Schizosaccharomyces pombe: one gene and its partner. The protein of the gene in region 2 interacts with the protein of the main gene of each other region in a biochemical or structural test. Each region holds a gene or a part of one and is shown on either strand. Other genes may lie near its edges.

The links.
Region 1: the proteins of yip11 (region 2) and gem6 form a complex in vitro, tested with the Schizosaccharomyces pombe proteins (one study listed by BioGRID).

What each region holds. Positions count from the first base shown.
Region 1 is NC_003424.3:5,350,893-5,357,487, forward strand, and holds gem6 (SMN complex subunit Gem6), read right to left. Parts: upstream 3,422-6,595; 5' UTR 3,328-3,421; coding exon 3,046-3,327; downstream 1-3,045. Other genes in the region: Sec7 domain-containing protein sec71, read right to left, coding at 1-916; pgc1 (glycerophosphoryl diester phosphodiesterase), read right to left, coding at 1,714-2,533, 2,665-2,780; F-box/WD repeat protein Pop2, read left to right, coding at 4,239-6,350; rer2 (cis-prenyltransferase), read right to left, coding at 6,500-6,595.
Region 2 is NC_003424.3:4,903,490-4,911,801, forward strand, and holds yip11 (SMN complex subunit Yip11/Gem2), read right to left. Parts: upstream 2,906-8,312; coding exon 2,739-2,905; exon of another isoform or gene 2,634-2,738; coding exon 2,285-2,633; exon of another isoform or gene 2,211-2,284; coding exon 2,019-2,210; 3' UTR 732-2,018; downstream 1-731. Other genes in the region: bud20 (zinc finger ribosome biogenesis protein), read right to left, coding at 254-551, 611-687; rsm22-cox11 tandem protein cox1102, read left to right, coding at 3,489-5,750; 19S proteasome regulatory subunit Rpn502, read right to left, coding at 6,008-7,255, 7,303-7,386. UniProt on the Schizosaccharomyces pombe protein: The SMN complex catalyzes the assembly of small nuclear ribonucleoproteins (snRNPs), the building blocks of the spliceosome, and thereby plays an important role in the splicing of cellular pre-mRNAs.

The DNA of each region.
Region 1 (6,595 bases), 450 kb from region 2:
CGGTAGAAAGGCGCTGGAATACTGAATCAACCATTTGTAAAAGAGCTACCTGAGCAATGGCTTGGGTAGTTGAGTCTTTACATAAGAGGAAAATATTGTAAGTTTGCCTCACTGCTGTAAGTAAAAACGAATGTCTAATGATTGTCCTTTCAGAAGTAATAGCTGCCAATAAAGCCTTTACAATTTGTAGCTGCACTCTTTCTGGAGTAGACTCACCGCAAAAACAGGATGCAATAGTGTTAACCACACGTTCCATTAAGGTAATATCCGATGGATTTAATGTTGGGGAATCAAAATAATTGTAATCAATCAGCTTGGCAAAGCAATCCAAAGTAATAGTCAGCAACGTTGTACTATTTGTTTGACAAGCCATTACCAAAGGTTCCAAAATGACTTCGGGAAGAAGAAATGGCTGCTTTTGTAATTCTATTTGGACATTATTGATAGCCTCCCTAAGCTTCTTATGCCGTTTTGTAGCCTTTGCTTTTGACATATGCTTAAAAGCCTCAATTACGAAGAGTTGAGGATTGAGTTTGCCAGAGTTTTGGTTAGAGGCGTTTGAAATATTCTTCCAAATCTTTAGATCTTGTGGAGCTTCAGAAGTAGATGTAGTCTGTTTGCTCAGAGTACCTGTTTGTTCACTTTCAATCGAACGTGAATCTAAGTCATCTTCTGGAGGTCTTAGAGATAGATTGCTTTCAATATCTTTTTCCGCTTCTAAGTTTTTATCGTTAATTTCTATACTTTTTTCAGTATTAGACTGTTCAGGTATGGAATCATGTTCATCTATTTCATCAGAAACTCGACTTTTGATTGTTGATTCACTATCCGGTTCTTCTTCGACAACAGACGATCCTTTTACTTCATCAGGATTACTAGAAACCCTACTAACGGTTTCTATCTCCAAATCTGTCATTTTGACATGTATGATATTTGATGTTGTAGCTATGCAGCTATGAAAGTATTATAGTATGAATGGATGGGTACGTATACTACCACTCTGCACACCACGAACCAGATCATAATTTTTTCTTTGAAAATTAACCATTGATTATATCCCTAAAAAAATAAAATTCATTTCTTTGTAATTTGTTTGATAATTTAAGCTAGAAGCATGCTTCGAATTAAGTACGTTTTTTTTTTTTTAATTAGAAAATCTCATTGAACTTCTTATAGACGAATTTATATTAATAGTTAACTGGTAGCATCTATTGTTGATGAATCAAGGCTCTTTTGTTAATATACTGACTCAAACTATTAAAAGTGTTAACTAGTTCTTAAATATTAGTTTTCATAAGATAATAAGAGTATCAATGATTAAACTACTACTGCAGAATACGCTTGTTCCGTACTAAATGCAAATTATTTAGGACGGCATAATGCCTTGCCAAGTTATGTTATTTATTGTAAATAAGTATATTTTTGAAACGAAAAAAACGATAGAAAAAAACTTTTTTATCAATTGAAATGCCACGTATGTTTGCGAATTTCTCTTTTTTCTGCTTCAACGTGGCTGTCCTAATGACAAAAATCTTTAGTGAGCGATTGCAATAATACAAAAAGATAGAGCGTAAACTCTCAAGCAAATAAGAAAAAATTGGGAGATGGGATTTAAACAAATGGAAGAGCAACAAAAATGCTCAATCACTAAAACCGGAATTCTAGTATTCATCAATCATAATATATGTATTTTCCATATTTAGAATAACATACTTACAACACAAAGGTTCTCAATAAAAAGAAGACAAATTGTGCTCGTAAGAAACCATAAATCATATGAAGCCACTCGGAATAATGGAAATAATGCCAAGATTTGGTAACAATTGGGCCTTGGGAAAGAGCTCTAGCCATCACCGGATCATCAGATAAAAGTCCGTCACAGCCTCTAATTAAAGCAAGATAGATAGAAGAAGGTGTGTTTAAAGTCCATGCAAAGACTTGTTTACCTTGGGCATGAACGAGATCAACAAAATCCTGAGAATGAGGAAGTAAAAACAGAGCAACAGCCATACTGACACCCTTTACTCTGGGATGCATAACAAAATGTCTTTCAGCATAAGCGAAGTTGAATCCAATATGATATAACGGAATTGATGGGGCATATCGATCACAAGCAGGGATGAACCTATGTGACCATAAACAAAACGATACTTTGTCTTTCCAAAAGTCTAAATCAGAATTAACCCGAAGCATTGCATCAACCATTCTGGGAATAATTAACAAATCGTTTACTGGCTTAATGTCAACAAGTAGATTGACGCCAGGATGCTTGGTTAATTCATGCAAAAATTGTTCATAGGTAGGTAACGGCTCGTGAGGCTCTTGAATGGTACGAAAATGACCATTATCCAATTCATAATCAAGATCTCGAACATCAACATCAACACCGAATACTCTGTTAAGATTTCTATCATGCAAAATGCAAACCACTTCATCTTTAGTTAGTCGAACATCTGTTTCAACGCAGTCAGCACCAGCCTTTACGGCTTGTTGAAATGCTAGTATAGTATTTTCAGGATACTTAGCTTTGTATCTGTAAACATAAGTTAAACATTTGCTAAATTGGAGAAGGATTTTGACAATTAAGGGTACAAAGTTGCAGATATGAAACTAAGTCTACTAATAATAAAAGCAGTATGCAACTAATACATTCATAAAACATACCCTCTATGAGCAATGACCAAAGGCGGTTTTGAAAACGTGGCTAAAGAACTCGTATTTTCAGCAATGCTTTGAGCAGCATCATCAACGGTATTGGCAATTGAGTAGTTAAAAGCCATTTTGAAGAGAACGATGTTGGTATTGGGAGAAGTAAAGAATGTAGCAACTATATACCAGTTACTGTAGTCCGATGATATCACTCCGCTCCGCTCAGGTTGCAAAAAAGGCGTTGAAGTGATTCGTCGAAGTCAATTCAGTATAACAATATTTTATATAGTTAATTTACGATAAAGGAAGGAAAACATTTCCCTCGCAAAAGAAGCGAATTATCCATCAGAATTGTAGATTCAAATCATATATTTCAAACGCTGAATGCAATTCGCATCATGAAGTTAATAGAGAATCATATTCTGCTAGCGATTGTTGATTAAGAGGAGACATACTTTCGTCGGGTTCAATGGTCTGAATAGCATCCGACATTATACCATAAAAACGATAATGAGTATCTTCAACCTCGTCTGTATTGGGAGTAAGAGGTTGAATCAAAATTAATGTTCCAGTCAAGGGATCACAGTTCCAAAGAAATCCTTCTACTGGTAAACGTCCATTCTTAAACAGGACGCGCAGGTAAGAACCTCTACGCTTTTCTGTTGTGTGAGAATCCATTTCATTAATTATTCAAATAATGTGAGAAAACAAAAAAGATAAAAAAAACATTAATAAAAACCAAACTTTTTAAAACACGGTTTATGTTCAGGTCAAAAAGTAGTAGCAATTTTCGGTAGCTGTATGAGAGGCGTGGAATTACAAGATGAGTATAGCTTCCGTAGCAGACGTAAATCAAGTATGTTTTTCATTCGAACCCAAATTTTTAGTTGTTTTTGAATTTATGAAACTGATACTTAGGCCATTATGGTTTTTTTTGCTAACAATATACCAGCAATGGGATTTACAATCAGTTTTCGTATTAACTTCCATAAAACTTATTTTATTTATCAACGAACATCAAATTCTAGCTCAGAAAAATAAAAAATGCATATATTTTGTTTGAAAACGCTGCTTACGCTAATCTGTATCATATAACTTCTACTCAATTTTCTTAATCCATGTTTCCTGTTTTAGGTACCGCTTTATATTTATTTACTTAAAAAGTATCAATTCATGTATCTTTTTATTACAAGTTTTGCATTCGCATTGTACGAACTTTTGTTTACAAATTCTCCGCCAGAACTTGCCTCCTACCACACACAAAGATTCTGTATGGTATGAACAACGCATATTGAGCTTCTGTTATTTTTTCAATTAAAAGATTACTTATAAAAAAACCTTTCCATTATTCATTTTCTCTTTATGCCCGCACTTTTTAATCTGTATCTAATTTCGGCATATGCCAGTTTTTGATTAATCTGTAGAAACAAACCATAACGGTGTTGTTTCTTCTTTCCAATCTGTCAGTAACTTTTTCATTGGTCTCTTTTCCAATTTATTTTCAGATTGTTTTATCGACTGTTTTCCTTAAAGCTCATTTTTGACTTCTTATTTATTTCAACGAAAAATCACAATCATTGCATCTACGCATGTCACTCTCTAGGTGTCCAACTGACAATTCGTCCTCCCGTATAAATTCCTCTGTTCCTTTAATAAATAGCAGCAGCCCTGCTACACCTCCAGAATCATTTGATCCTCAAGTATTTCCTTCTTCACTTATTCATGGGGATAACCTGCTTCCTCAAGATGATCAAATTGCATCGGATCCTCGCTCAGAATCAAATAGTTGTAATGGCAATACGAGTTCTTCCCTGCCGTGCACTGATTCGTATCAGTACCCATTAAAGCATTCTTGTACGCCTTCTTTTCTTCGAAAGTTTAATGAAAGTATAGAGAATGTCTCTTATAAATGCTTAGACCACTCACCGCCAGATAGTGTTCCTGGCGATTTTTCCATTTCCCTTGTTCCTCAAAGGAATTTTCTATATTCTCATTCTTCTCTTCCACCTAAAATTATATCAATTGATAGAAACAATCGAATTAAGTTAGATAATAGCATTTCATCTAACTCCGACAATTTCCCTCCTTCTCCGAAAGTCGACACATCAAACACTGTTTCACCTGGTAGTAAACCTATCTCTGAGGATCTTGAAGATTTAAACTTACAGTCAATTGTTCAAACTTTTGAGGATCTTCCAGAAGGAATTCAATCTTATGCGTTTTTTCAACTACTCCGTTCGTGCAATCGGCAATCGATGCGTTTATTATTGAATGAATGCGAGCCGCTTCTAAAAAAAGATATACTTTCAAATCTTCCTTTTTCCATTGTTCAGTCTATATTATTAAATCTGGATATACATTCTTTTCTTTCTTGCCGTCTTGTTTCGCCTACTTGGAATAGAATACTTGATGTGCATACTTCATACTGGAAACACATGTTTAGTTTATTTGGCTTTCAAATCAATGAAAATGACTGGAAATATGCTAATCCAAACTTAAATCGTCCACCTTTTTTGCACAACGACCAAATCTCAGATGACTATTTTCCGGAAATTTTCAAAAGACATTTTCTCAATAGAAAACGATGGTTATTTCCTTCGATACCTCCAAGTCATCTATCTTTTCCCATTCATGTTCCAAACTTTATGATAACTTCTTTACTACTTCATAAAGACAGAATAATCACCACTTCGGGATCTGGAACAATTCAAATTCATAATGCTATTACCGGTGTTTTAGAAGCTCGATTAGAGGGTCATAAAGAAGGTGTTTGGGCTGTCAAAATACATGAGAATACACTTGTATCTGGTTCGATCGATAAAACTGTTCGCGTTTGGAACATAGAGAAAGCTAAATGTACGCACATATTTAGGGGACATATTTCCATCATCAGATGCTTAGAGATCTTAGTTCCGAGTCGTCTTATTCGCCATGGAGTTGAAATTGTTGAACCAGATCAACCGTACATTGTCAGCGGCTCTCGGGATCATACACTTCGGGTTTGGAAGCTTCCAAAAAACACGGATCCTCCTTATCTTCCAGATAATACAAACTCTATTGACCGTTGGGAGAAGAACCCGTATTTTGTACATACTTTGATAGGACATACAGACTCTGTACGAACTATATCCGGCTATGGTGATATACTTGTGAGTGGGAGTTATGATTCTTCAATTCGCATTTGGAGAGTTTCAACAGGGGAATGTCTTTACCATCTGCGGGGTCATAGTCTTCGTATATATAGTGTTTTATATGAACCAGAAAGGAATATTTGCATAAGCGGTAGCATGGATAAGTCCATTAGGGTTTGGGATTTATCGACAGGGACTTGTAAATATGTGCTTGAAGGCCATGATGCCTTTGTTACGCTTCTTAATGTATTCCAGAATAGGTTGATATCAGGTTCTGCTGACTCCACAATTAGAATATGGGATTTGAATACTGGGAAACCATTAATGGTTTTGCCGTCTAATTCAGGCTACATTAGTAGCTTTGTGTCAGATGAACACAAAATTATTAGTGGTAATGATGGTTCTGTAAAGTTATGGGATGTTAGGACTGGAAAGCTGTTACGTTTTCTATTAACAGACCTCACAAAAATATGGCATGTCGATTTTGATGCTATGCGTTGTGTGGCTGCAGTGCAGCGTGATGATCAAGCATATTTGGAAGTTATTAATTTTTCCGGATCAAGACCGTAGAAAGTTTCATTTTAACAATATTTAAGAAGACATAATTAGAGTAGTGTCTAACTATTTACATCAGCTACTAACACATATTAAATGTATACAATGTAAAATTAACAGCCAAAGCCTATCAAAAGTAAATAAGTAACGAAGGATTGAATAAATTATGCTGGTTGGTTTTGTAACTGGTATTGAATTAACATTGGGAAAAACTTCCAGATAGAAAAATCCGGCCAGTAGAAATCGATGAATTTTATCTC
Region 2 (8,312 bases):
GTGAAGGTAGTTTGAGATGCTCACTCTTGAAGCTAGATTAACATCCAGTAACCAATGGTAAGGTATTAGTTGTAAATTTGTAATCCAAACATGGATGCAACTAAAATTACCAATAAACGCTGCTAATGATAATATAGCAGAATAAATGAGAATGAGACATATAAAAATCTGTTTAAATAAAGAGCATGCGCTACGAATATGGAACAAAAGCAAAAGTGCTGACTAACTTAGCATTCGTAAATGTGTCTCTAGTTTAGTCCGCCATGACAACGTTACTATTGTCAGCAAGCTTGGAAGCTACACTCTGTTTTGGCTGTCCAATATTCACCGCAGCTTCTGCTTCTTCTTGTGTATACGGCTCTTCACGCAAATTTTTTAACCTTCGTTTGTGAACCTTTCCCTTCTTATGCACCAGCAATGCTTGAGACGAGTCAAAGTACCGTGCACATTCAATGCAATAATGTTGACCTAAACCTGGCAAATCCGGATCTATAGGTAATTTATCAAATTTCTCAGACTCTGTTAAGTCATTGTGAATCTGATCTAAGTCTCTATTTGTCCAATTGTTAATTTACCAAACGATGATTGAATGACCATGAAATTTGCATACCTCCCATAAACACGAGTTCTAAACAAAGCATGATTTCCATTGCTATGATGCTTTCTTTTTCTGGCAACTCTTCCCATTGTCCGTCACTTCAAACAAACCCGTTTACCACAATTACAATGTTAGTTGCAAAGGATAAACTTTTTTAAGCGTAAACACATTCAATATCCAAACGGCGTAATGTGTGCTATATCGTATAGTGAAAAATAATTCTCAAATAATCTTATTTTCCTATCGTAGTTTGCGATAAGTTTAATAACGAGAAGGAAAGCCTCGTTATATAGTTGAAAAGCAAGAGAAATGTATTAGATATGTATTATTGATTGTTCTGAATAGCTCAAGTAGCGTAAATTTTTTAATAAATAAATATTCGTTCAAAATTTGGGAGAGCATGGTCAAAGCAAGTTGAAATGCATGCCTTTGAAATTGCGCTTTTTAAGCGACGATTGCTCCATCGTTTGACAAAACTTTGTAATTTAAGGGATGTTTAGCATCGGAATTTATTAGGGAAAATTGCTTTAGGCGTGATTCTTAGTACATGGCAACTATAGAAGAAATGAATTAACATTCAGTAGCTTTCTGGCTTTAACTGCCACTATTTCATCAAAGTCTCGACAAGTTGACGTTTAGTCGAAGGAAAGAAAGTATTCACGTAGCGAGATCAGAGTCCGCTTATCAGCAAGGAAAAAATTGAGCTCTCCATTTAGACTGCTATACTGAAGTGTGAGCAATTTTAGTGACATTTAGTTTTACAAAAGGAGCTTGATTGCTCGAACTCAAAAGATTCAATTAACCACGAAGGGGTTCTTGGCAGTGAGGTTGTAATTATTTCTTTTTTATTTTATCTTTATTTGACTTTTGTTTTTTCCCAAAGAATAATTGCAATGTTCAATTAGTTTTGAATTTGAAAAACCTCATATGGGTAAAAAATCACTCGGTCGAAAAAGACAGTAAAAATTTATTAGTTAATTTCGTAAGATGGGGCGCGAATTAAAGAAAGTTGCTAGTTATCATGTAATAACATAATTGAAACCCTCGATTCGACAAGTATGCAGACAGCAAAACGAATGCACGTACTAAACAAATAGTAAGCCATTTTTTGTAAAATGAAAATGTGAATCAATAAACAAATAACTTTGCCTATCTCAATTCAAACGTGTTTTTTTAAAATATATCTATCGATTTGTAATAGGCAAATTGTTTATTGCAGCTATCTCCAAGCTTGCTTAATCACATGTTCAAAGATGCAAAGCCCAGCATATCCGTGTAGCATATGTTTTCATTCAAAAAAGTAATAATATCCTAAAAACATATTTAAAACAAGCTATCAATTTTAATTTTTTCCCTATAAACAAACGTATGCTATATGAACATGTGTACCTAAATTTTTTTCGACCAAGATTTATAGACTCTATGTTTGAAAGAGATCTTTTTGTCCATATCGATAAACTAAGACTGCTTGAAGGGCAGATGCTGACATCTGCAGAGCAGGAAAAGAAGTATGCGTACTTCGTAAAGACTTGAGTACTGAACGTAGGGTCGATATATCTTCTCCATTCAAAAGCTCAGGAAGTTTATAACAAAAGCAAAAAATCCATTGACTCTAGAAAAATGTTAGCAAATTTTAGAATGAACAAAAATACACCAGCAAAGTAGCATGAGATCCTTGTTACCAACCTGTAAATCAATTGCGTCCTTTTCAAGCCAGCTGGACAAGCTTTCTAGGATCTCCAAAACAGTTGCCAAATCAACCACTGCTAATATGGCCCAACAAGGAGCTTTATGCTCAATATATACACGCCATTGTTGTAAATTTTTAGGTAAAATAGATGCGTCCAATGAAGAAGATTCCATATATTGCTCAAGCCTTTCCCCTTCTTTATCAATTATGTTTAGTAAGTATCGTAAAAACGGGTCAAAGCTTTTTTTGCCGGCCTCGATTTCCAATTTGCGAAGAGGAATGGTTTCTCTTGTTTCAGGCTCACGACGCGCCGCTACAAATGGAACTAGCTTGCGAGCTTCTTCTCTGAACTTGTCAGTAAAAAGCCCAATTATTGTTACAATGATTAGATTAAAGCATTCATGTTGCAAATTTCGATTTTCACAAAAATTCATATATAAATGTTCGTACCTCACAGTTGCTAAATAATCTAAACCATCAAGTGGTATATCATATTCCAAAGATTCTGAAGCACTATTGTTGTCGATTTGTGGAAAAGCGCTGCGTTGATTTGTTTCCTCATCTAATGATCCTGAAGTCTGATATTGTAAAGGATTTCTTTTTCTTTTCGAGGGCATTTTGAATTATTATTGTACAATTGCAAACTTCTCATATAAACCAAATGGAAAAGAATTACCGAATTTTCATGAAAATACTCAAGGAATGTAGGCTGTTTTTTTCCGGCAACTTTTCGTTTGTAGTTAGTTAACAAGGAATGTTTCGTAAATCGAAGATTACCCTAGTATAATAGAATGGTAAGGTTAAAGAGGTATCTGTAGAACTATCAATGTGAAGAGTCTATCTTGATCAAGTGTAATGCTAAAACTAATTTTAGCTATTTCTTGATAATTCCTTTACTATCATAAAATTTATTACTTGTTCTTATTTTCAAAGAAGTTCAAAGTTTTGCATTTTTTTGAAGTGTATAAGAAGCTAAAACTGGGAGAATATTCACTCAGACAGAATTGCCTATCCTTGAACTAATTTAATAAACATAAAACATATAGATATGTAGGAAATTGTACTATTCATTCTTCTGTCAACGCAAGTAACACCATCTGCGGCCACTTAATCAGGCACTTACTCTACACAATATACAGATCAGTGCTTTATCCCCAAATCCCATTGTTCATTGGTGAATTGGTGTTTTGAGCAGCACATATGCCCATTCTAACATGCAGATATAAAATTCTGTTTCTTTATAATTTACGGAATTGCTTTACTTTTCAAAATCAGCGATGTCTCATACCATATGGAACAACCACTACCATTAGGTGGTATAATGCAAATTTTCAAGCTGTTCAAAACAACTTTTCTGATTATAAAAACGAATTGATCTCTTCACATCGTCCAGAAGCTTCCAGTTTACTCGACTTTTTGGTAAAGGATCAAAAGAAAAGTGGTGATATTAGTTTGCATACAAAATTTAATCTATATGTGGACGATTTATTGAAAAAGAGCGAAAAAGGACAAATTAAAAAATTTATTAATGATATTAAAAAAGATTTGGCTACGGAATCTCAGCTTCCATTGTCTGCGCCATTCAAAGATGAATCTACTCGGACTATGACAGATCCCCAAGTTTTAGCTTATATTCATCAGTCTATGCCGTATCAATATGCTTCTCTATACAGCGTATTGACTGACTTGAAAATTGTAAACAGTGATGTGTCTTGCAAGTCTCAACATATACTGGATTGCGGTAAAGGTCCAGGTATTGGTGCTCTAGCTAGTTATTCAGTCTTTCCCACACCTAATTCAGTTTCAATTGTTGAGGAGAACCCATTTTTGAAAAAAATCATATATGATATTCACCATAACATTTACCCGTCAACTTCGCCGAATCCAACTAGCCCTGTTACGCTTAACCGTCTACCATTGGGTAAAAAGGATTCATACACTCTAGTTATTGCATCTAACAAGCTTCTTGAAATGAAATCGGAGAAAGAACTCTTTGATTATCTTCGTTCGCTTTGGAGTCTCGTGTCAAATGATGGTGGTCTTTTGGTGCTCTGCGAGCGAGGCACAAAGCGTGGCTTTAGTTTGATTCAAAGAGCTAGAACATTTCTATTGCAAAAAAGTAAAAATACTTCTGATAAACAATTCAATGCCCATATTGTAGCACCCTGTCCCCACGATGGTCGCTGCCCCATTGATATAGAAAATGGGGTAAGAGCAAATATTTGTTCTTTCAAACAACATTTTTTCCTATCCCCATTTTCCCGTCTATATGTCCCTCGTTCTCATCGTCGATCCTCGGATCGCTCTCATTACAGTTATGTTGTTATTCAAAAGGGTATAACTAGACCGCTTAATAATACCACACAAAGGTTCAAGAATGATGAGGATTTACTAGAAAATGTGAATGTTACATCTCCAACTCTTAAAAACTGGCCACGTATAATTCGACCTCCACTGAAGCGAGATGGACATGTCATAATTGATGTCTGTGATAGCGATGCTCGGCTTAGAAGGAATATTGTTCCTAAATCACAAGGTAAACTAGCTTATCGATTAGCTAGGAAAAGTGCTTGGGGCGACTTGTTTCCGTTAGAGGGCAAAGTTCAAAGTACTTCTCCAAGTAGTAAAATTACTAAACATTTAAAAGATGCTTCTTCTACCTATTCAATCAATCCCCCCTCATATAATAAACCCAAAGTTGAAAGAAATACAACTGCAGATCCTATTTTTGTCGGAAAACGATTCTATTCGACTAATCGTCATAAAGCTTTTTCTCGATTTGCAGACTTTAATTCACATCGTTTCCCTTGTATTTTTACTTCATTTAGCTGTTACAATTGCATCTCTGGTACCAGGAATATTTCACGACAATATTCGAGAGATAAATTCCACTATAATCAAAGGACCACTATCTATTATCTGGTTGCAATTTCCATTTTTGCGTTGGGCTTGACATATGCGGCTGTACCTTTATATCGTCTTTTCTGTTCGAAAACAGGTTATGGTGGCACTCTTAATACCGACCAAAGTCGTATGAATGCAGAAAGAATGGTTCCTCGTAAAGACAATAAAAGAATCAGAGTTACTTTCAATGGCGACGTTGCAGGAAACCTTAGCTGGAAGCTTTGGCCCCAGCAGCGTGAAATATATGTTCTTCCAGGCGAGACTGCTCTAGGGTTTTATACTGCTGAAAATACGTCCGACCATGACATAGTAGGAGTTGCAACTTATAATATAGTACCAGGTCAAGCCGCTGTTTACTTCTCAAAGGTTGCATGCTTTTGCTTTGAAGAGCAAAAGCTAGATGCTCATGAAAAAGTAGACTTGCCTGTGTTTTTCTTTATAGATCCAGAATTTGCTGATGATCCAAATATGAAGGATATTGACGATATTCTTCTAAGCTATACTTTTTTTGAGGCCAGATATGATACCAATGGCAATCTTTTAACTAAACTCAACTGAAATAAAAATTAAGGGACTACATATTGAGTGAACTACAATAATTTATTTAAAATAATTCATCAAGTTAACCTTCTAGTTACGAGACAAATAACAACGAAAATCACTACAAACTTACTAGAATAACTTTCTCCGAGGTTGCAATTCGACATTAAAACTATTGTATTCTCGTAAAAAAAGTTGAAGGCCTTTGAACCAATAGTATATTATTTAAATGACAAAGTCATGAAAGTAACGAAATGAAATAGAGACGGAACAATTTATTTGGCTACCGCCTGTTGAATAGAATTCATCATTTCTTCTTTTATAATAAGCTGTCTTACCTTTTCCAATTTTCCAAGAAGTTCAGTAATATTGGAACCCCACTCATTCAATTGCTCTTGCACATTTTGAGATTTCTTGAATGAAATGACTTGAGCTGGGCGATCAATCTTGGCATAGAAATGATGCTTTGCAATAAGGTCGCAAAGAAATTGTTCTGTTTCGGAAGGACTCATATCCAACAACACTCCTAGACGACTGCAATGAATGCGGGAATAATAGTTTGCGACTACACGAATATTGTGTTCGATGACTCGCTTACGAAGTTCAGACCAACGTTTCTCACCTTTTTCGTCATTTTCAGCAAAAACAGGATTACTCCTTAAAGCACTTCCATAGATTTCGGCAATTTTGGGCCATCTCATTAGTTCATTGACAATAAAGCACTTAACCAATTGTTGGAGTAAAGGAAGAGAATTTAGTTTATGGTCAGCATTAATTCGGTGAAGAAGATCTGCCTGCTCGTTATCATAAGGAGTAAGCAAGGCAAAGCAAACGACATTTTCTAATATTTCTTTCCATTTCTCGGGGTCCTCTTGAACCACGGCGGTGTCATAAACTGCTCGATAATATTTACAAACATCAAGATATGCATCGTCGTGCAAACCAATTCGGATTTTTTGCTCATAATACTTAAGTTTTAAAGACTGGACGTCTTCCTTTTCAAAAAACTTAACATTTATTTTCTTCGTGTAAGTAGATGCCATGTAGTAATCAGACCTCAGTAAGAATAATCTAACTTGATCCAAAATGAATGCAACTTTTTCCTTCAAATCAAAAGATCCGTAAGTCTCTACTGGTTCATTACACAAGATCTCCTGGGCAGATTTGATGTCACCTTGCTCTTCTTTAATCTGGGAAAGCAGTTGTGTAAGACGTGCCCTTTCTACTTCCACATATATCTTTCCATCAGTAATAGTACGCAATGTTTCAATCAAATTAATTTTTGTTTTTAAATCGTCAATTCCAGGAAGATAGGTCATTACATGTTGGACTAAACTTGTCATCGATTGTTTCAGTTGGCCATGCTTTTTAAAGAGACTAACCAACTGTTCGTTTAAGCCTTGGAAATCACCAGCTCGAAAGAGCAAATCAGCAATGTATATTAATACTTTCGTATTCGTGCTGGTGTCAGAAGCCTGACGAACTTGCTTCTCAAAAATCAAAAGCTTCTCGAGGTTCGCATCCTACAATTACAAGTTAGAGATTAGTCAAAATTTTGATTTTTACGTACGATGTCTATGGTATTAAGGTTATTTAAACTTTTTTGTAACTCTGCAAACTTCTCTGAGTAATCAACTTCCGGTTTCTGTTCCATTTCGATATGTGGGTTGTTGGAGAGTGTACAATTGAGACTAATATTGCGAGTTGATTTCTTATGATTACAGAGTTGTACCGCACGCTCGCAAAATACTTTAGTTGTCAGCAATACTACTCTACGCTATGATACACTACGTTGCGTATCACTATATGTCATATGTTGGAATACTAGCTAAGATCCGTTTATTGATAATCACGGGTAACGATCCGTCTATATACATAGATACCCGTTGATAACGCGAATGAGCCGTTCGGCTTCTTAGTTCGTAGATCCGAGATTTCGAACTGCTTTTAGGCAGTAAATGATAGCTTTTCCATCTAACTGACTCTAAAATCACACTCCCTTGTTACTGGACCCACATTAGCGATAGCGGATACAAAAATGCAGGGAATTGAAAGACCGAGTTCGTGGCCTATTGAGAGAAAATGGAACTTCCCTTCCCAAAAGCACCTTTGACCTGCAGAAAAATTAGGCCAATTATTATGATGCCAAGTCTGGAAAAACACCACAGGTTCGGTATATTATTATTGTCAATATTGTTATACTGAGTTAGTTTTTTTTTTTTTTTTTTTTTTTTTTTTTTTTTTTAATACCAAAGTTTCGTATGCCTATAGCATTAATCTAGATCTAGCTTGCGTCATATAAGGACCAGATTTACTCTTGACCGACTTCATAGCAGCATAATTAGCATCTCCTCGGCATAAAAGAAAAAATTTTGCTATCTCCACTCTCACAAGGTTAGCGAAGGTTTGTGCATTTGACAGCAGGTTGGTTAAATTCGTTAAGCTTCCAAGAGATATAAATATAGTGGCTCGAATTTGACTTATCCAGTCAGTCATTCATTGCTGAAGTTGTTGGGTTGGCCAGGTCCATCGGTAAGTTTTTGTTTTGTAGGATGACTGTATAGTTTGGCTTTTTGTTGT